Linked DNA regions of Rattus norvegicus. The protein of the gene in region 4 purifies or fractionates together with the protein of the main gene of each other region. This does not show direct contact. Links are inferred from orthologs where the notes say so. Each region holds a gene or a part of one and is shown on either strand. Other genes may lie near its edges.

The links.
Region 1: the proteins of Pogz (region 4) and Champ1 purify together in Homo sapiens (affinity purification with mass spectrometry; 4 studies listed by BioGRID and IntAct, with this or other methods). This does not show direct contact. The link is inferred for Rattus norvegicus from reciprocal best matches to the Homo sapiens genes POGZ and CHAMP1.
Region 2: the proteins of Pogz (region 4) and Cbx5 purify together in Homo sapiens (affinity purification with mass spectrometry; 5 studies listed by BioGRID and IntAct, with this or other methods). This does not show direct contact. The link is inferred for Rattus norvegicus from reciprocal best matches to the Homo sapiens genes POGZ and CBX5.
Region 3: the proteins of Pogz (region 4) and Cbx1 purify together in Homo sapiens (affinity purification with mass spectrometry; 7 studies listed by BioGRID and IntAct, with this or other methods). This does not show direct contact. The link is inferred for Rattus norvegicus from reciprocal best matches to the Homo sapiens genes POGZ and CBX1.
Region 5: the proteins of Pogz (region 4) and Zfp428 purify together in Homo sapiens (affinity purification with mass spectrometry; 3 studies listed by BioGRID and IntAct, counting the BioPlex papers as one, with this or other methods). This does not show direct contact. The link is inferred for Rattus norvegicus from reciprocal best matches to the Homo sapiens genes POGZ and ZNF428.

The regions. Positions count from the first base shown.
Region 1 is NC_086034.1:82,444,217-82,448,604, forward strand, and holds the start of Champ1 (chromosome alignment-maintaining phosphoprotein 1), read right to left. Parts: upstream 2,929-4,388; 5' UTR 2,821-2,928; intron 1-2,820. UniProt on the Homo sapiens protein: Required for proper alignment of chromosomes at metaphase and their accurate segregation during mitosis. Involved in the maintenance of spindle microtubules attachment to the kinetochore during sister chromatid biorientation.
Region 2 is NC_086025.1:136,226,048-136,230,713, forward strand, and holds the start of Cbx5 (chromobox protein homolog 5), read right to left. Parts: upstream 3,072-4,666; 5' UTR 3,029-3,071; intron 2,885-3,028; exon of another isoform or gene 2,881-2,884; 5' UTR 2,781-2,880; intron 1,299-2,780; 5' UTR 1,253-1,298; coding exon 1,116-1,252; intron 1-1,115. UniProt on the Homo sapiens protein: Component of heterochromatin that recognizes and binds histone H3 tails methylated at 'Lys-9' (H3K9me), leading to epigenetic repression. In contrast, it is excluded from chromatin when 'Tyr-41' of histone H3 is phosphorylated (H3Y41ph).
Region 3 is NC_086028.1:82,283,355-82,286,982, forward strand, and holds the end of Cbx1 (chromobox protein homolog 1), read left to right. Parts: intron 1-2,303; coding exon 2,304-2,448; 3' UTR 2,449-3,077; downstream 3,078-3,628. UniProt on the Homo sapiens protein: Component of heterochromatin. Recognizes and binds histone H3 tails methylated at 'Lys-9', leading to epigenetic repression. Interaction with lamin B receptor (LBR) can contribute to the association of the heterochromatin with the inner nuclear membrane.
Region 4 is NC_086020.1:185,108,203-185,112,160, reverse strand, and holds part of Pogz (pogo transposable element with ZNF domain), read right to left. Parts: coding exon 3,913-3,958; intron 2,643-3,912; coding exon 2,534-2,642; intron 841-2,533; coding exon 550-840; intron 471-549; coding exon 261-470; intron 1-260. UniProt on the Homo sapiens protein: Plays a role in mitotic cell cycle progression and is involved in kinetochore assembly and mitotic sister chromatid cohesion.
Region 5 is NC_086019.1:89,225,966-89,230,513, reverse strand, and holds the start of Zfp428 (zinc finger protein 428), read right to left. Parts: upstream 3,073-4,548; 5' UTR 2,733-3,072; intron 2,464-2,732; exon of another isoform or gene 2,280-2,463; intron 1-2,279.

The DNA.
Region 1 (4,388 bases), on a different chromosome or scaffold from region 4:
TGGGCTGCTACCGAGATGACAGTGACTAAATGAAAGACAAACAAGCTGGAAGGTAGATCGTCCCACCTCATTCTGTCAAGATAGGGTTTCTCTGTGTAGCCCTAGATATCCTGGAACTCGCTCTGTACACCAGGCTGGCCTTGAACTCAGAGATCTGCCTGTCTCTGTCCCAGTGCATATACCACCACCACCCAGTAGACAGAGTCTCCAAAGAGTTGTAGCTTAATGGATGTACACTTGCCTAGCATGGGTAAGGTCAATTAGCAATGGAAAGAATAGAAGAGGCAGGGTATCCTAGTACGCTGGGAAAACATGTAAAACACATGTTGACAAGCAGTATTAAAAATTATCACTTATGAATATAAACATGTCACAAAGGAAAACTTATGGATAGTACAGACGTCTTTCTTTTTTAGATTTATTTATGAGTGTTTTGATCACATTTATATCTGTGTGTCTGGTGCTCATGGAGGTCAAAAGAGGGCACTGGATTCCTTGAACTGAGGCTACAGACTATTATGAGCTACCATGTAGATGGTGAGAATCAAAGCTGGGTTCTCTGCAAGAACAAAAAGGCCTCTTAGCAGCTGAGCCAGCTCTCCAGCCCCAGCACATTTTATAAAATGCTTTATCATGAATTGGAACAAAGTGTTTGTCAGTGGCAGCACACTGAAAAGTTAGCAATCAACACAAGACCAAAAGGACTAAGAGCCCAATCTCTTCGTTTTACAATGGAGAAAAATGCTCAGAGAGTAATTTCTTTTTAAGTGTTGTATTTTTGAGGTTTTTCTTTTTGATTTAAAAAAAAAAAAAATGAGGGCTGGAGGGATGGCTCAACGGTTAAGAGCACTGGCTTCTTTTCAAGAGTTCAATTCCCAGCAACCACATGGTGGCTCACAGCCATCTGTAATGGGACCTGATGCCCTCTTCTGGTGTGTCTGAAGACAGCTACAGTGTACTCCTATACATAAAATAAATAAATCTTTAAAAAAAGAGAGGGAAGAAAAGGCTATCCTTTAAAAACAATGTTTTCAATACAGTACATTCTGATCTCAATACAGTGCATCCTGATCTCAACACAGTGCATTCTGATCTCAATACAGTGCATTCTGATCTCAACACAGTGCATTCTGATCTCGTCCCACGCCCCTATTCTTCCCAGGTCCTCCCCATCAACCCAACTCCATGCCCTGAGAGAAACTAAACTCTTCAAGGTCTTGACTCTGAATCTTTGCTTGACAATGTGCATAGACTCCCGTCTGGATTCCGGCACTTCTGACACTAACTGTAAAGACTAAAAGTCTGCACTGGTCACTGGTGCTGTCAGCTGGTGACCCATACTTTCCAATGCATCCGCACATTAGTCCACTCACTCTCTTCCTAGTTACCGACAGTTTCGTGTCTCTATGCAGCCCTAGATGTCTTGGAGCTCACCATGTAGATTAGGCTGACCTCCAACTCCCAGAGACCCACCTTCCCCTGTCCCCAGAGTTGAGCTCTTCGATGAAAGGCGTCCAATCACCATACCTGGCCGTGATAGCCTCCTTCACTTTGATATACATGTTTCATATTAAAAATTCAACATAGAATGCCTGTGAGCTCAGTGGATATGTAAGCTACACTGGTTGCCAATCTGACACACCTGGGATACTGGAGCCTCAACTGAAAAACTGTCTCCACCAGACTGGTTTATAGGCATCTGTGGGGCATTTACTTTGATTTATAATTGCTGTAGGATATTCAGCCCGCTATAGCAAGTACTGTCCCTAGGCTTGTAGGCCTATGCTGATTAAGAAAGGGAACTAAATCAACAGTACGCAGCTATAACTGTGTTTTCAGCTCGAGTTCCTGCCCTCAACAACGGACTACAACCTGTAAGATGAAATTAACCCTTTTCTCCCCAAAGGTGGTTGATCACAGCAACAGAAAGCAACCTAGGACGTTGGATCTATTAGTCTATTGTACATACTAGTACAATTGTTCTTTATGAATAGCCTTTTTTTTAAAAAAATGATATACATCTTGACTAGTTTTGTGTTTTAAAAACAACAACACAAAGCACAAATAACTGGCACGTTTCTACACGTTTTCCAATTCTATTGACAATTCGCGTTAGTGAGGTAATTTGTAACAAGTGACACTTTCTTGTTTCCAAGTGCTGGGACGGAACCCAAAGCCTCACTCTTGCTAAGCAAGGGCTCACCATCAATCCCAGCCTAATTTAGGAAGCCCACAGTTTACATGAGAGGCAGAGTCACCTGAGTGCCGTTAGGGTTCTCAGAGTAATTTTACTGCTCAGAGTTCCTTGTGTTCTTGACAAGCATGACCCGTTTACCTGGGGGTAAAACTTCTGGGCACCGAGCGATCTTTAGTTTAAATGTGAGAGAACACTAGATTGGCACGAGTTTACACTCCACAGCAAAGTGCCAAAGCGCTGGCCCTTTCTTGGAAAACACCCTACTAGTCTGCAGCCATCCGAAAGGCTCCCTGGACAAGGCTAACCCCATATATGGTCCACGTCGGGAGACCTTCTGTCACAGGTCACAGGTCTTTAGGACCTCAGGTCAGTAGCCCTAAAGCAAATTCCTGACCGATATTGCCCCCTCCCATCCTGAGCGACGCTACGCTACACGGACAGAACCAAGATTAAAAAAAAAAAAAAAAAAAAAAAAAGACCGGCCTTGGAGGCGGAGAACAGGAAGAAGCCACGGTGCGCTCCGGCCTCCAGGCCACGCCAAAGGCACTAAAGCCCCCGCCAGCACCACGGCGCCCGCCCACCCAACCCTGCAGCCCGAACCAAGGCGCCCGCCGGCTCCTCACCCTCCGGCAAGGTGTCCTGGAGTGAAGAGGAGGATACGCCCACAGGAAACGCTGGGCTGGCCGCACGGCCTCGGGAATGGCGGCTGGACGCAGGACTAGCCGGGAAGTAACGCACGCCCGCACCGGAAGTGCCGTCGCGTGCCTCCGGGTCGCCCCCTCCCCCGGCCCTAAGGTTCCCAGCTAGGCTGGGCTTGGCGAAGCAAGGACTGAACCTCTGTCCTGGGCTTCTGTCTCTTTGCTTCCCTCTTTTTCGATAGTTTGGATTTTTGTTGCTGTTGTATTTTGTGTGTGTGCGTTTGTTTTTGTCTTTTGATTTGATCCCTTCTCAGTAAAGACGCGTTCATTGGGACACTGTCTGTACTAGGCAATAACAAAGCTCTTAGAGGACAGTAAACGGGTTTCCTGTCTTCAAACTCAAACTCTAGAAATCGGCTTCAAGTACAATTGAAATATACTCACCTTTAGTTTTAGCATTAGTCCGTTTGCTTTGAAAGATTGGGAAGACCTATTTTACCTTACTTTATATACCTATGTAATTTCTTAAGCTTTTGCCTTTGGTGGTGGTGGTGGTTTGGTTCCTTGAGTTTTGGTTTTGAATGGTGATAGAAATGAACTCAGGGCCACCTTATTTAAGCAGCCCATGCTGTCTGACACATAAAGTTAGTGACTTTTGTTTGTTTTTTTAAGACAGAGTCTCTCCCTATGCAGCCCCGAGGTTCACCTGTCTCTGCCTCTCAGGTGCTGGGCTCAAAGGCACAAGCCACCATAAGCATCCCTAACCCACTTTTGAGACTCCATGACTGCTTGCACCAACAGCCACTATCCAAGGGTCAGCAAGTTTCTTTGTCCTCTTCACTGCCACCTTCTGCATGGGTTTCTCCGTGTTTGGAGTCAACTCTTGTCAACCATGGGGCTGGGAGATGCTTGAGAAGCCAGACATAGAGTTTGGAAGCCCATGGAGTAGAGAAGAAGAAGGACCTTTCTGGCAAGTCAGGGGAGTGAGATTCGCCCTGAAAGCCTGTGTGGTGGGGCAAAGCAGCGTCTACCAGAAACCAAGGAAGTGAGATTTGAGGAAGTAAGACCTATGAGGTGAAAAGGAACAAAGCCTACCTGGTGGTACATTGTTGTTAATTGTTATGATATAAAAACACAACTGATTTTGTGTGCAACCCTATACCAAGCTACTTTGCTAATTCATTCTATTAGCTTCTGAGAGTTCAGTGTGTGCATGTGTGGAATCTTCAGGGACACAGCAAATCATATAACCAGAAAGCAGAGACACTTTTCACTCGAATGTAATGTTCTTCAGTATCCTAGTTTTGCTTCTGTGTTGCTGTGATAAAACCTAACCAAAAAGAAGCTGGGCGGGAAAGGGTTTACTTTATAAGATACTGAGGAAACTCAAGGCAGGAACCTTGAGTGAGCAGAGACCTTGGTGCTATTCCTAGCTTGCTTTCCTCCCCTGGATTGCTCGATACCTTCCTTATACAACCTAGGCCCACCTGCCCAGGTATGGAACAGCCCACAGAGGGAGGCACTCTTCCCCCATAAGTTAGCAATCAATAAAA
Region 2 (4,666 bases), on a different chromosome or scaffold from region 4:
ACAATTAGAGGTCAGAGACCACCTCAGCTATGGGTCCCTGCCTTCCACCTGTTTGACTAGGGTCCCTTATTCACTGCTATGTATGACTGGCTACTTGTCCCTCAGGCTCCCAGGGATTCTCTTATCTCTGTCTCCCATCTCAGTGTATCACTGCAGGGAGAGATGTAAGTCCGACTCTATATGGGTTCTAGTGATCTAAATTCAAATGTAAGAGGTCCACCCACACTCACTGAGACCACCAAGTACTATGCCTTATCCCTGGGTTTTTGTTTCTTTTCCTCTTTTGGTATATATGTGAGGACAAAACCAGGACCCTGAGTATGCTGGGTGAAAGCTCTCTACTACTAAGCTACACCTACCAACCTCTTATACCTCTTTTATTAGAGTGGGGGGTGGGGTGAGGGTTGGGGGATTATAAAATTAGCCAATGGGCTGAAGAAATGGTTCAGTGTTTAAGAGGATTGTCTACTCTCCCAGAGAACTGTGGTCTGATTTCCAGCATTTACATGGCAGCTTACAACCACCTGTAACTCCTCTTCAAGCTGATCTGATGCCCTCTACTGGACCATGGGCACCAGACAACATACATGTAGTATATATAGGCAAAGCACTTATACACAAAAAATTAGAAAAAAAATTAGCTCCATGTGGTGGCACATGCCTTTAATCACAGCACTTGGCAAGCTAATCTCCTGAGTTCAAAGTCAGCCTGGTCCAATAGGGAGTTCCAGGACAGCCAAGGTTACACAGAAAAACCCTGTCTCAAAAAACATAAAAAATAAACAAAACAAAATGGCAAAAAAATTTAAGTTATAATAATAAAAAAAAGAAATTAACCGAGGTCATTCACCTGTATCTTAGGGGATGGAACAAGAATCTGGTCCCACGATATCTAGCTCCCAAGTCTGTGTTTCCAACCAATTCCTTAAACTACTCTTCAAAAGTAAAACCATTAAAGTATCAGCTCCATAATAGGGACAGTGTGTGGTCTGCTGCCTGTTTTGATTTTCATGACAGTATGTAAATGGAAAAAGACAGATTATGGCTCATGGACAAAGAAACCAAAGCTTTCTAATCTCTACAAAGTCTTAAAGACTGAAAAAGAAAGCACTTACTCAGAAAAGCCTTTCCACTTCAGCAGATACTCCACTTGCCCTTTAACCATGCGCCTGTCCAACACCTTTTCCACCACATACTCCTCCTCATCCTCTGATGAAGAGCTGTCGGCTGTCCTCTTGGTCTTCTTTCCCATGTTGGGTATGTGTTGGTCCACCTAAAGGAGTGCGGCCACCAGGTTCCTGAAAAGGGGGAAAGATGAAATGGTTTAATCTATCTGAGGGTTAAAATTGTCTCTTTGTGATGGAACAGAGGATATAACACCAGTGAGACACTTATCCTTCTCTTTGATCTACAATTATTATATGACAATGCTACAAATTTAACATGGGTCAATCCACACTTCTCTAACAACTTCTCTTCAGCTGGAGATCAAAATTATTAGATGGAATAATTGTTTCACTCTTTAATTTCATATTCCCAAAGAGCAAACAGCATGCATGTTACTCCTGACCATTTCTACATCTACTTGTGAGCCAGGAACTCAAAAAGAAATATGGAAAGCCTTCAATTAAAGAAACAAAGAATAAAAAAAATCTTTTTCCATCAAGGTGAATAAAAGACCCTTTCCCCCCAATGCACCTGAATTTAATTTTTCTATACTCTGAACTCTCAGGATACACACACACACATCCTGCTTGGGCCATCTCTCACATTTCCATTGAATTGGTACATTTCCCTTAAACAATTTGAGCCTGTCCTTTCAGATTATCTATCAGCTCACAGAAGCAAGGCTGACAGCTCAAACATACTAAGTCTTCTTTTTAGCAAGCTCAGTTGGGGATAAAAGGGAAGAGGGGCAGAGAAAAAAATTTCAGAATTACTCACTGGACTAGTCTGTAATTCCCAGAGCTCAACTAACCTAAATAGTTCAGGAGGTACCTTGTCTCTTAACTGAAGTTGACTTTGGGCCAAAGGAAGAGGAAGGAGAAGTCTGGCCCCAGACTCTGCATCAACATGAAGCCTCCTAAGAACACAGAGGACTTATTCATCAGCCTCAGGCCCCAGAAAAGCCACAGCAAGGCAGCACAAATGGAAACTGAGTTAAGCTCAGAAATATGCACATCAGGAGTGCTCACAGAGAATCTAGTTTTTAAAATTCCCACACTGTTGTTACCATAATCATTTTAAAATAATTCTTTAACAATGTTAAATGGCACCCATAGTCTGAATTACCAAGTAGCAAGAATTGATTCTCAGTTGACTCCATTGTTATTTTGCTATAATCTCTAAAGATATTTTTCAGAACATTCCCATCTTGGCCAGAAAGCCAATCTCAGAAATAAAAAGGGCAGCTAATCTTAAAATCATGTTCAAGTCAAAGAAGCAGAAGTTGTATTTAACAATTTATTTAAATTATTAATTTGTAAGAAATTATTACAAAAATAAAGTGTTGAAAATCCTACCTATAAAACTGGTTAGCAAATAGGTATGCCCGCCTCAAAAACTGCTTATATTAATTTCTGACCTATGGTAACTTTATTTGAGAAAGGCTTGGGGGAATGTAGTTAAGGGGTTTTGAAATAATCTTTCCATTTATTTAGAAGACTCATAAACATCAAAAAATATATAAGGTTTATTTAAAATAAACACAGCCTCCGACCTCACCACAGACAGGAAATGTCATATTCCAGGGAGAGTACCCCACCCCCACCCCCACTCACCTTGGAATTTCCGGGAGCTGAGCACTTTAGGTCAGAGCGCTGGGTTAAAACCAGCCCCATGTTGGAAGCATGCAGTTAAGCATTGTGGCTATGGCCTTCCCTGCCTCACCAGGAAAAAAAAAAAAAAAAAAAAAAAAAAAACAACAAGGATTTACATATGTGTTCTTCAGTTTGAGGAAGAGAATTTTTTTCTTTATACCTTTATGTTGAAGAGAAGCCCTCAAAGTAGATCAATAGGGGTTCCCTACCTTACCTACCGGATCGCCCCAGTTCGTTCTTTCCCTCTGGGCTAACAGGAGGGGCCTCCCCTCCCAGGTCTGGGGCTTGGCGGGCTGGCAGCTCCCCCGCCCCCACCCAGCTGCCTGGGCGCCACTGCGCAGCTGTCCCAGTCCGTTGCCATGACAACTGGCAGCCGTACTAGACTAAGGGGGGGAGAGGCAAATGAAAAAGTTAAAAGGCTTAACTTTCCTTTTCACTGCAGACTGGGTGGAGAAGTTGGAAGGTATCTTCCCCTGGCCCCGAGGCTAAGGCTTTCAGAGCTCAAGGGAGTTAGGTTCTTTGTTTTAAAGTCCAAAATTTAGGCTTATTTCTCTAAAAGCGCTGTGAATTAATCAATAGCATTTTAGGACCACCTAACAGGATTATCGCTCACTGGAAGAAGGGGAAAAGCAAGATTAGGTACTACAACAGATCAGGACAATCAACCCTTTATCTAGAATCATTCGGGACAAAGGCTTTCCCATCATCTGTCCAGTTAATTAAAATTGCTTGAGGGGGAAAAGTAACAGGAAAGGGAGAGGGAAAATATTTTACTATGTAACATCTCTTGTTTGAGAGAATTACAACAGAACCCAAAGACTTTAAACAAACAATGACCAGGGATCAAGCTTTGTGATTTTGGGAGCTGATTATGGAAACCAGGGCATTATACTGTTGTTTTATTTAAAAAGCAAAACAACAAACCAAACAAACAAAAAACAAAGAGCCAGGATATGTTTGATAGAGCCAGGTACGGTGAGGTGGGAGGGGGTGCCTCTATGGGCCCAAGCTAAGGCATCCCTTCCCCCTGAGGTACCAGCCATATAGTATCAGCTAGAGTATGGAACAGAGTTTATTTAGGGCATGGGAAATGGAGTTGGGAAGGGAGTTGAGAGAGAGAGGCAGGGAGGGAGGGAAGGAGGGAGGGAGGGAGAGAGTGAGGAAAGGTCTGCCAGGAACAAGTGGAGGGAGGGGGAAAGGGAGAAAGTGGTCAGGGAGAGTATGAGAATAAGAGCAAGAGAGAGGAGGTGGCAAGCAGCCCCTATTATAGTTAGCAAGGCATACCTGGCTGTTGCCAGGTAACTGTGGGGAGGAGGAGCCTAGAAGAAATGCTAACCATACAGACTACTGAGCTACACCCCCATACCACCAAAGGAAAAAAAAAAGAAAAAGAAAAGAAAAAGAGGGCTGGAGAGATGGCTCAGTGGTTAAGAGCACTGACTGCTTTTCCAGAGGACCTGAGTTCAAATCCCAGCAACCACATGGTGGCTCACAACCATCTGTAATGAGAACTGATACCTTCTTCTGGTGTGTCTGAAGACAGGTACAGTGCACTCATATAAATAAAATAAATAAATCTTAAAAACAAAAAAGAAAAGAAAAGAAAAAGGAAAAAACCCTTTCAACTGAATTTACAGATGGGAAAAATTAGTTCCTTAGTTTAAAGGCGAGGGAGAACAAGTTGGCAACAGCCATCACAGTATTTATTAGTTATTCTTATAATGCTATAAAGCAGACTTTTAGTAATTAATATCCCAATATATTACTCATATATAAATCTTCATATTAATAATCCCTAATACCCAAGAAAAGAAGGGTATTATAATAATACCATAATAATAATAAAA
Region 3 (3,628 bases), on a different chromosome or scaffold from region 4:
TTTGGTTGTTGGGGACTGGAAAAATGGCTCAACGGTTAAGAACACTACCTACTCTTCCAGAGGTCCTGAGTTAATCCCAGCAACCACATGGTGGCTCACAACCATCTATATTAGGATCTAATGTCCTCTTCTGACATGTAGGTACACATGCAGATAGAGCACTCATATACACAAAATCAAATTTTTAAATTAAAAAAAAGTTAGCTGTTGAGCTGGGGGTGTGACTCAGATGGAAAGGGTTTGATCCCTAGCCCTGTAAAATAACAAAACAAACCCAAACCTTCATGATAAAGATGTGGTTACTGATAGAGGTCTTGCCTAGCATGTACAAGGCTCATGGTTTGAACTTCAGCGCCCACTCCCTCACCCTCAAAAGATTGAGTGTTGATTGTAAAACTTTACCCAAGTTTTTAAAAGTCACACATGGCTAGGTGTGGTAGTTGCACACCTTTGATCCCGATACTTAGAGGCAGAGGCAAATGGTTGTCTGTGAGTTTGAGGCTAGCTGGTCTCCAAAACAACATAGAGCTGCAGTTTTCAACCTGTGGGTCATGACCCCTTTGAGGGCCAAATGACCCTTTCACAGGAGTCATGTATTAGATATCCTGAGTATCGGATGTTTATGTTATAATTCATAACTGTAGAAAAATTACATTTATGATGTAGCAATGGAATTTTTTGGTTAGGAGTCAGCACAAGATGAGAACTGTATGAAGGGTTGCAGCATTAAGAAGGTAGAGAACCACTGACACAGACTGATACATGTATGCTCATGGGTCTGTGTATCTGTAGAACAATACACATGGCTCTGGCTTCTATTTCTAGTACCACATACATGCACATTAAAAAAAATGTGAGGGGCTGGGGATTTAGCTCAGTGGTAGAGCGCTTACCTAGGAAGCACAAGGCCCTGGGTTCGGTCCCCAGCTCCGAAAAAAAAGAACCAAAAAATAAAATAAAAAAATGTGGGGCTGGAGAGATGGCTCAGTGGTTAAGAGCACTGGCTGCTCTTCCAGAGGTCCTGAGTTCAAATCCCAGCAACCACATGGTGGCTCACAACCATCTGTAATGAGATCTGATGCCCTCTTCTGGTGTTGCTAAAGTACACTACAGTGTACTCATATACATAAAATATAATAATTCTTAAAAAAAAAATGGGCTGGAGAGATGGCTCAGCAGTTAACTGGCTTCTTTTCTAAAAGACTCAGGGTCAGTTCCCTGTGCCTACATTGTGGTTCACTACCTTGTAGAACTGTAGTTCCAGGGAATCTTAACATCAGACACACATTTGTATACATATGTATAGGCAAAAGACGTACACATAAAATTTTTTTAATTTGCTGCATGGTTTTCCAGGAAAGTGGTAATACCTGTCCATTGCTGAAAATAGAAAATATTTCTATGTAGTGAAAAGACTTAAACTTACTCCAGAATCTCTGTTAAAATAGGGCAGTGTGTTAGATACTTTGTAAGTACATTTCCAGCCATCTTGGTGTGGTTTCTTATAGAGGCTTAATCATATGGGCTTATTCTGTGGTTCTCTGTGGCTCTAAACCCTTGTTCATGGTCACATTTGGGAGGTTTGTGGTGGGGCCTTGTCACATTCTGTCCTGCCCCACGCTGCTGCCTCTGTCTGGGACGGACCCAGTGAGCTGAAGATGAATGGATAGAGCTTCCTCCTAGTTAACTCCCTATAATGCATATTATTCCCAGATTTTAATCTTGTTTACCTTCTGAAATTCTAATTAAGCTTTTGGGGGGAGGGGCTTTTCTAAAGAAATAGTTGAGTCAGATGACCTACCTTTTGACGACGTTTCTTAGAGAAGATTTTTGTTAGTTTTGTTTTGTTTCAGTTTTTGAGACAGGGTTTCTCTGTATAGCTCTGGCCATCCTGGAGTTCACTTCGTAGACCAGGCTGGCCTCGAACTCACAGCAACCTGCCCTTGGGGGGAGTTTTTTTTTTTTTTTTTTTTTTTCCCCCACATGGAGAGGTTTAATGAGAGAAGAAGAGTAGAAGAGGGGAGGAACAAAGGCTGGCCATGAGCATGTGGAGGGAAGGGGGAAGGATGGGGCGAGAAGGGACAGGGAAGAGGGCACCAGAGCAGAGAAAAGGCAAGAGGGGGGGAGATTTTTAACAGGAATATCTTTGTATGATGTGATAATACATATCTAGTAAATGCTGCTTGCACCCTGTTTCCTAATTTGTTTATGGAATTTAGCCTTTAAAGCCCCATTCCCTGGGTGGTCCAAAACATGAGACCACAATGGCTGACTTCAAAGTTTCTTTGTGCTTTGTTCTGCAGGAAAAACTCTGATGAGGCTGACCTGGTCCCTGCCAAGGAAGCCAATGTCAAGTGCCCACAGGTTGTCATATCCTTCTATGAGGAAAGGCTAACGTGGCATTCCTACCCCTCAGAGGATGATGACAAAAAAGACGACAAGAATTAGCCCTGTTGAGTACCAGCCCCTGTCACCTCTGACTGTGGGTTTCCAGGGGGAGGGAAGGAGCTGTACTTGTCTTGACACCATTGAGGTGGCTTGAGAAGATGTCCTTTGAAGAGCCAGCATAGTTTCTGTGTCCTGCAGCAGCCCAAGTGCTTTAAATTGTTCACACTGTATAGTTTGCACACCCATCCCAGGGGAGGGGAAAGGGTAAGTGTTTCAAGGCTCTGTTCTGCGCTTTACTAAGGAAGGAACAGGCCTTCCATGGAGGACAGAACCCGCAGAACTGGGATGTGGGAAAGCAAAGATACTGTCGATCTTCAAAGAGCATCTCCACAACCCACTGCCTTCTTCCCAATAGTGTTAACTGCATTTTTACAGCCTAGCATGTGTGTAGTTTTTTGGCTATTACTGGTATATTAATTGGGGGTGGGAGGGTTGGGGCAGGGAGGAAGGGAGATGGGTAGAATCATTTTGATTAAAATTTGGAGCCTGATTGGGGAAATGGTGAAACAGTAGAACAGTTAACTAATAAATTGGTTCTATGTCCAGAATATTTTGCCTTTTCAAAAAATTGTCATTGGCACCATAAATAAGGACTATGAGAGACTGTTTAAAAAAAAAAAAAAGAAAAGTCTGTTAATCCTAAAACCTACAGCCAAGGTGCTCCCAACCTGAGCTCAAAGTAGCCCACAAAGGACAAAGCCAGTTCTGAGTTACCAAAGCTGCCATTTGATGATGGAAACTGACTGGAGAGGGAAAGTTTATTGGAGAGTATTAGAGGCAGACCACTCTGCCTCAGAGGTGCTAATTCTTGAAATTGGAGAAAACCTTTTCCAATTACAAAGTTATAAATATCAGTTTGTCCGTCTAAGCCATTGGCTCAAGTATTGCAGGAGGGCCTATGGGAGATGGAGGAGGGGAGCCTCTGCTCTGGGGGCAAACTCTTGGAGCCCCTCTCGCTTTTTCTTTTTTTTTTTTTCTTTCTTTCTTTTTTTTTTTTTTTTTTTTTTTATTTTGTTTTTTCAGCTTTGAACCCTGAAACTGCTTGTGGCAGGTTCAGTTACTGACAGCACAAATTCCATTGAGTCTATTCAAGGATTGAATGACTTCACAAGCCCTGGTCTCAGGAGATTAACTTTCATATTGGGGTAGTGGTTCACTTGAGAATACAAAATCTTCAGAT
Region 4 (3,958 bases):
AAAATACATCTTTAAAAGTACGAGTTACCCCAGAAAGTCCACTGTTCCTTCCACAGACTTCTTTCATCAACACATCCATGCCACTACCTGATCCCCAACGCTGCTGGTGCAGCTACATTTTCAATCTTTTACCACATTACCATTTCTGTAAAAACAAAGCACCTGCATCCTATTTATCCATTTCACAATAGTTTCAATGCAAGAAATGCTTTAGCAATGTTTTCTGCGTGACTGAATGGTGTTTCAGTCTCTCACATTACCTTTCATTGAAGATTCGGGTCCACTGGTTCTTTGAGCAGAACTGTTGTTGGACACCACCACTGGCCCAGGACTCTGGCCCAGGGAAGGGATAGTGTTAAGAGTATTCACCAACTTGGCCACTTCGTTGCTATTTTCACCTGTAACCCCAGGTCGCTTCACAGTGACAAAGCTGGCAATGCTCACTGCAGGTGGAGAGGGGAAGGAGGGAGCTACATTGACCAAGTGAAAATCATCTGTTTCCCACCCACTGCCCCATGCTGTTCTGCCGTCTCCTCGTCCACATCTCACCTAGTTTGGGATTCGAGGTCTGGTTGGGCTGGCCTGGAGGCTGACCAGCTAGCTGCCCCAATGCGGTTGGCTGTGTGGCAATGGGAGTAGTGGAGGTACTGGGGGTGGACTTGGTCTGCTGGGACTGGGACTGTGGGACAGTGCTTCGGATGGTGAGAGTAGCTGGGATGACGGTGGTAAAGGTGTTGGTGGTGGGCCTCACAGGCATTGTGGAGCCTGGCCTCACGGGGGTCATCTGAGAGAACACTTGTGGGACGCCAACTGTCGGCTTAACAAACTGTGTACCTGGGGCTTTTAAAAAAAGAGACAAAAAAAGTCCCAAACCTTCATCAGTGAGCTCACCTATAAAATATTTTCTTGCCTTTCCTAGAAATACAAGAACAGGAAAAAGTTACTCCCTAAACTGACTGAGTGACCACCAGAGATCACTAAGAGTAGCATCGATCTGAACATCTAAGAAAGCTGTAGCTGTCCGTCAAACAAAAGGAATTATCCAACGTTTCGTAAAGCAGCAGTCAGAAGAAATTCCCACCAACTCTTTTCAGATGCCCTGCACACACTCTTTTTTACAGTAGCTTGGCCTCCATATTAGAAGTGGGAAAAGATTGGGTATATGCAGGCCAAAGGGCAGACTTGGTCCTTAAAGTCTTTTTTCAGAATTCTAAAAGAATTTTCCATTTTCTTCTGTATACTCAAATAGGACAGGCAGTCTACTCTACCTCAATGTCCCAAAGGTTGACCTTTTTCTAGAACTACTGTAGACAATCCCAGGGAAAAACATTTAGAGAACCTCAGAATGTTAGAGACATCTCATCAGATTTATGCCTTAAATGCCCTGATGGCTCTCAAACAACAACAAAGGAAACAAAAGAACAACAACAACAACAAAAAAAAAAAACAAACAAAATGCTTTGGAAAGCCAACCACAGAAGCCCCTTATTGTCCTTGTATTTATCTGAGTGTGTGTATGTGTATATGTGTGAGGGGTGGGGGGTGGGGGTGGCATGCATACCACAGTGTGCAAGTGGAGTCAGAGCAAACCAAGTGGGAACTGGTTCTTTCCATCATGTGGCCTCTAGGGAGTGAACACAGGTCCATTTAGCCCTGAGACACCTACTGGTCCTAAGGACTGTTTACACAAATAAAGTTACTCTCTTTTTGAGCCAAACTGTAGAAAACCTAATAGGTAAGCATTGTGATTTGGGGGGAAATTACAAGAATCTTCTTTTGGTACTGAAAAATTGACCCCAAGGCCTCAAGCAATGCTAAAAATGCTATAACTCCAGCCCCAAGATTCTTTTTTTTTTCTTGGTTCTTTTTTTCGGAGCTGGGGACAGAACCCAGGGCCTTGCGCTTCCTAGGCAAGCGCTCTACCACTGAGCTAAATCCCCAACCCCCCAAGATTCTTTAATATTCCATTATATGGTCAATGGTAGTATTATCTTCAAAACATCTATCATTTACTTAATTTATATCTAAAATTCCCCCAACCTCTGCCTTAGCTTGTTTATTTCTTGAGACAAGACTTGGCCTTAAATTCACAGTAATCCTCCTGCTTCAACCTCCTGAATGTTGGATTCCAGGAGTGTGTCACCATACCTAGTGGCATATAGAAAACCTATGCTTTACAGTTAAAGAAAAATTCAATTTATAATCCTATCCCATAAGTGAGTAAATGTATGGGGAGCATTAGATTTGTGGGTTTGCATTAACAATATTCTTTCAGGATAACAAACAAGAGCTGACCTCATCAGCAGATACTGTTTGACTAAATAAGACTTATTTTACCTCATGAATGGTGGTGAAAAGTTAAATGTAAAACTAAAATTACCACTTGACTAAAGTTCAGACTTTTTAAAATTGGACTTAAATTGTTAACATGGTATTTTAAAATTCTGTTTAAATACATACTTCCAAATGACCGAGACTATTTTGAAACAATAAGAGTAAGTATCTGGATGCCAGGTTGTAAACATGTCCTTACCTGGGACCAGTGTAATTGGTCTGACTGTTTGGCCTTGCTGTACATTCAGCACGATCCCAACCTGGTTCATGGCATTCTGTACAGGGCGAACATTCCTTACAGGGAATCCCTGTATCAAAAAGAAAAATGACCTTTAATACAGACCAACTAGCCAGACACTGACTACAATATGACTGACAGCTCCACAGTCTTACCTAGCAGCTCTCTCTAGAATCACAGCTTTCAAATGACTGAAATGGAGAATTTTAGGAAATTATGGCATGCTAGGTTTTTATGGGGTGTTTTTTGTCCTTTGTTTTTGCCTTGAGACGGGTCTTGCTATGTAGCTTAGGCTGCCCCCAAACTCCTAATTCTGTTGGCAAATATCTTTGGGGTATTTTTGTTCTGTTTTTTTGAGACAGGGCTTTATATAGCCCAGGTTGGCCTTAAACTTGCTATGGAGCCCAGGCAAGCCTTGAATTTATGACAATTTTCTGCTTCATTCTAAAAGCTGGGGTTATAAGCATGTAACACCACACCCAGAGTGCTTAGCAAACTAAAGAAGCAAAAGCAACAAAACTATGCATCCATACACTGTGCTTTGAAGGGAAGAAAAATCACTAATAGTATTTAATCTAGTATTCCGACAGATAAATCACCTTTTTTTAAAAATATGTTGCTCTCAAGCCCACTTCAAAGGCCACAAACCTCTGGTAACTACAAAGGCAGAAAGAAGCATGTGCCTCTTAAATTCCACCCAGATTTGGGCTTTCAACTGACAACCGGTATACTGTATGGCAGAGCCTTCCTTCAAAGACCACTTATTTTATACATGTATTTAAAAGTCAATGAATTCACCCTAGGGGATAGAAGCAGCCCAGGCAAAAGTTATCCCTTGCAAGGCAAATGTGAAGGCTTCAGGTTTTTTTCCCCTTAAGATGTGTATGACTGTGCACGTATGTATGTGCACCACAGGGATGCCTGGTGTCTGTGGAGGTCAGAAGGCATCAAGCCTTCTGAAAGTGAAGTTACAGACACAGCTACGAGCTGACATGTAGGTGCTGGGAATTGAACCTGGGTTCTCTGCTAGAACAACAAATGTTCTTGATGGTTAAGCCGTCTCTCCAGCCCTGAGTGAAGCCTTTCTAATTCTAACTTTCCTGATGATTTCTGCTCAGACTTTCAACTCAACAGACCTCTCAGGTGCATGGACAGGCAATATCATGTAGCCATAATGCTATGCTGAGCATTCCACAAGGCAGAATTCCATGAAACAGTACGGAGAACCTCAGTTCAACAGACAGAACTCTAACAATGATAAAGATCGTGTCCAAGGCAGAGCCTCTGCAGGCTCACCGTCTATCTCCCCAAACAGACCTAGAAGTCGAAGCCCCACTCACCTGGGTAGTGATGAAGATAGGTTGTGAGGCCACAGGGGAGCTAGTC
Region 5 (4,548 bases), on a different chromosome or scaffold from region 4:
TCGTCACTAAGTGTCACAGAGACCTGTGCCAGACATTAACCCTTTAGCTGTAGGAAGGACCACCAGGAAGGAGGGTCACAGATCGTTGACTATTAGGGACACTAAACACTTGGTACAGTTGAGATACCAGCTAGCCTGGAAATGTTTTAAATTGCTTTGTTTTTAAGAGACAAGATTTCAAATACCCTGACCTTGGAATTCTGACACTCCTGGATCTACCTCCCAAACGCAAGAGATCAAATGGTAGGGCTTCAGGCATGCTAGGCAAACACTCCACTCTGCCTACTGAGATGAATCAATATCCTTCCATTTTGCTTGTTTGAAACAAGGCATCATGGAACCCGGGCTGGCCTCAAGTTTACTAAGTAGCCTCAGATGACCTTGAATTCCAGATCTTCCTGCCTCTTTTCCTCCCAAGTGCTAGCTAGGATCACAGGATCATCACCACACCGGGTGGTGGGCGTCAACCTACGCCAATTGTATAACAGTCACCCTTGCCTAGGTTTAAACTCAAACCTGGCATTTTTTGCCTATTGCTTCAAATGGGACCCCACTTCTCTTGTCTGTTTCCTTCTCTGGAAAGCCTGTGTGTAGACCTTGATTGGCACACTCAGAACCACACAAAAACAGCTCTCTGAGGCAGAAGAGGAAGTAAGGAGAAGACCTGCACGCTGTCCAAAGCTCAAGATCACGCTGGTCACCTCAGCAGACTGGTGGTTGAGCAAGGATTCAAAACCATGCTTTGAATAGAAGTAGGCAGTCTATACCTACAGTCTAGCCCTCAGGCTGGTAAATCTGTAGTTTAAGGCCATTAGTTGGCCTTAACAGAATTTGAGGTTTGAGGCTAGTCTGAGCTAAATGAGACCCTGTCTTAAAAAAAAAATTATAAATGTATTTTCTTGGGGTTGGGGATTTAGCTCAGTGGTAGAGCGCTTGCCTAGGAAGCACAAGGCCCTGGGTTCGGTCCCCAGCTCCAAAAAAAAGAACCAAAATAAAATAAATAAATAAATAAATAAATAAATAAATAAATAAATAAATAAATGTATTTTCTTGCCATCTCTCCAGGCTTCTGTGGGGTTGGAAGCAGGCACATAAAGGCCTTTTATTGCCAGATGGGAAGGGTCCCAGTTCATCATCCATTTGCCATCTGGAATTTTCTCCTTCTTCTTTGTGGATCTGTAGAGCTCATTCTCACCCTTGCAAAGCTCACCTCTAAACATCTATATTGCTCCTTGGCTCCAATAATCCACTACTCTCAATGTACACATTTCTTCCTCCTCCTACATTGGGAGAGGACCTTGCAAGACCAGGCACATATGGTTTCCACTCTCCATTAGACTTGCTATCCAGTCCAGGCTGGCCTTGAACTTGCAATGCTCTAACCTCAGCTTCCCAGTACTATAGACAGGGACACTAGTAATAAGACAAAGGCTCAATGTTAGGCACTGGGGACACAAACAATGGTAGAAAGCACGCTGTCTTTTCAAAGCCCAAATGTTTGCTGTTGGGGGAATGTAGCTGGAGCAGCAGGAGAAGGGTGGTATCATTGGGTAGGGAATTTCCTAAAGACACCTAGATCCTGGATCAGGCCTTTTAAGGACAGAGAAATAGGAATTGACAAGGAAGGGATCTCCTGACTATCCATCAGGTGTAGGCCCTCTAACTCTGGAGTATTATTTCTGGAAAAACTCGCACTATTTAGCAAGGAAAAACGGAGGACGACTGGTTAAGTTTCTATTTAAAATAAATATTTAATATATGTATTCCATGCGGTACCTAGGATTACCCATTCCATAAACCCAAACTCACTCTTTTTTGAGATCTGTCCCCCCCCCAAAAAAACCCCCAAAACAAAAAACAAAATATCGAATCCTCCTGCCCCAGCCCCTGAGTGTTGGAACTATAGGCACGTGACATCACACTGGGTTTTAACTATTATTCCACTTGACCATCACACCAGAAATTGTCAGGACTTTCCTCGGGGTTACTTGGGGACAACCATCCCTTTCCAAACCCACGTTATATAAAGCTCCTTCCAGAATGTTCCGGATATCAGGTGGAAGCATGACAGGTGAAAATCTGCTGGGCGTGGCGCGCACCCCTGCGAACTCAGCACTTGGTAAATTTTAAATTCTAGGTCGTACTCCACGATATTGTGGGTCCAAAACCAAGAACATGAAACCGTCTGCCCCAGTTCCCTCAAAAGCACAGAGTGGCTAAGACCCCACCCACCCCACACACAAATGAACCAACATTGTGTGAGTGAACACAATAGATACCTTTTCGCACAACGCTAGGTAGGACAAGGACTCGGAGAAACCCGCTATCAAACAATAAAGATCAGCTCCCACAATGCCCCGTGACAACTTCCCACGATGCCTCGGGCCTTTAACGACCACCCTATACAAACGCCGGGCACCGAAACGCTCCTAGCCGTGAGGCTTCTGGAGGAGAGCGTGTGCGACCAAAAAGAAAAAAAGAAAAAAAAAAAAAAAAGTCCCTTCCAGGAGCCCAGGCCCTTCCCAGAATGCCCCAGGCCCATAACTCCTGGCCCACGGACTCCCACAATGCCTCGAGGCGAAGCTGTGGTAGGTCCCGAGCCGCGTGCTGGGAGAAGCAAAGGACTCTCTGGCTGGTCACTCTGCCAAGTCGCCGCAGGCTCCCGTCATGCAGCGGGGCTGTATCGCCCGCTTCCCAGCATGCCCCGCGCCACCCCAACCACGGACACTCACCGACGCCGGCGGCCCCGGCTCGGCTCAGCGGTAGCGGCTGCACGCCCGAGCACTGCGCTTGCGTTTAGGGAGGCTAGGCGAGCGAGCGAGCAAGTGAGCGAGGGGCGAAAGGCGCTCAGGGCGCGTGCGCGGTCAGACAGACCATTCCCGGCGATCGGTGGGAAGAGGGGCTCAGAGAATTGCACAGGCTGCAGAGCTCAAGCCGGCGGAGGTGTCGGGCTCTGCGGCTCACAGCCCCGCTAGACTTGGTACAGTCCGCGGTCCGAAGGGTGAAGAAGATTCAAGAATCGCGCGTGCGTGCGCGGTAGAGCGAACGCGCCTTATAAATAGGGGGTGCCTTGGGGTGAGGGGAAAATGGGGGCCTAAATACTCTGCCTAGATCCCGGGGCTGGAGACTCGCTTATTTGCATAATCCTAGCGCTGGACAAAGGAAGGCCTCCCGCACTGGAGGATGTGATTTGCATATTCCCGGGAGAGGCTGTCCTCCGGAGCGCAGTGATTAGCATATGGATGGAGAGGGGGGGCACCTGAGAAAAGCGCATGCGTTTAGGGGACTGCAGACTTAAGCGTAGTGGGATGGCAACCTTGTCCTGAAAGTACTTAAGGTCTGGGACCGGGTTCACGTCCCTGTCACCTAGGATAAGTACCAGGACAGCACGTGGTACTTATGCGTTGCGAGAGATCTGGACCCCCAGTCTAAGGAAGATGAACCACATTTTTTTAGACTAATACTTAGAACTGTCAAGACCTGGAAGAGGAGCCGTGGATGCCAGAAACGCCTGCCCCAACCCAAGGTTCTGCAAGAGCTGATTTTTAAGCCAAGTCTGAACTGGAGCCAACTAGAATCGCTAAAGCAAATGACCAGAGGCAAAGTAGTGCCCGCATTCTTAGAGGAAGTCAAGGCAGCTTTTGCATGGAACACAATTAGAAAGTTTCCTATAGGTGTTTGCTTTTTCTTTTCCTTTTCCTTCTTTTATTTTTATTTTTTTATTTGAGGCAGGGTTTCATGTAGCTCAGGTTAGCCGCCAACACCTGGATGGAAAAAATGACCTTGAACGCTACCTCTAGAGTGCTGAAATTACAGGCATATGGCAGCCAGCCCGGCCCCTGTAGGTAATTTTAAAGAGCTATCACTTCATACTATTCGTAGCCATCCCTACAACCCTCTCCCATGTCACTAGCAATCTAAAACTATAGTAGAGTCCCATTACATCACAGAAAATGAAAAGTTGTGTTTTGCTTTGTTCCTGAGAGTCCCCCTGTGTGGAACTCACTCTAGCTCCAGGAGGTTTTCATGAACTGCCTGCAGTTCTCCTGCCTCAGCTTCCGGAGGGCTGGGATGACAGATATGCATCCCCTACACCTGGCCTTTCTGTCCCTAATGCCTTTGCTGGACCCACCCACCATTTTATCCGGTCCAGATCCCCAGCACTTCAAACGCAGCGATCTCTGCCTTCTCAGGCTTTGATCTCGCCAACGCTTTATCTGAAAACCCTTTGTCCCTGCTGCTCCGAGCTCACTCTCTCCCGGCACTGATGCCAATCGAGAGGCCTTCCTTGATGATACAGCTCCTGCAGATGGAGTAAATTAGGGAAACTGACACGGTACCCGGCTCAATAAATGCGGCACTTTTGATGGGGGTGTGGAAATGGGGTAAAGGGTGCCTGGGGCTATGCGGGCCTCCTCTGCCTCGCCTCCTTCACTTTGCATGAAATTTCCATAACAAAATAAAACAATACCTTACATCATCCCCACCCCGCCCCCGGTGTGTGTGTGTTTTATGCATAGTTGGCTAGCTGGAACCTTAACAACGCGT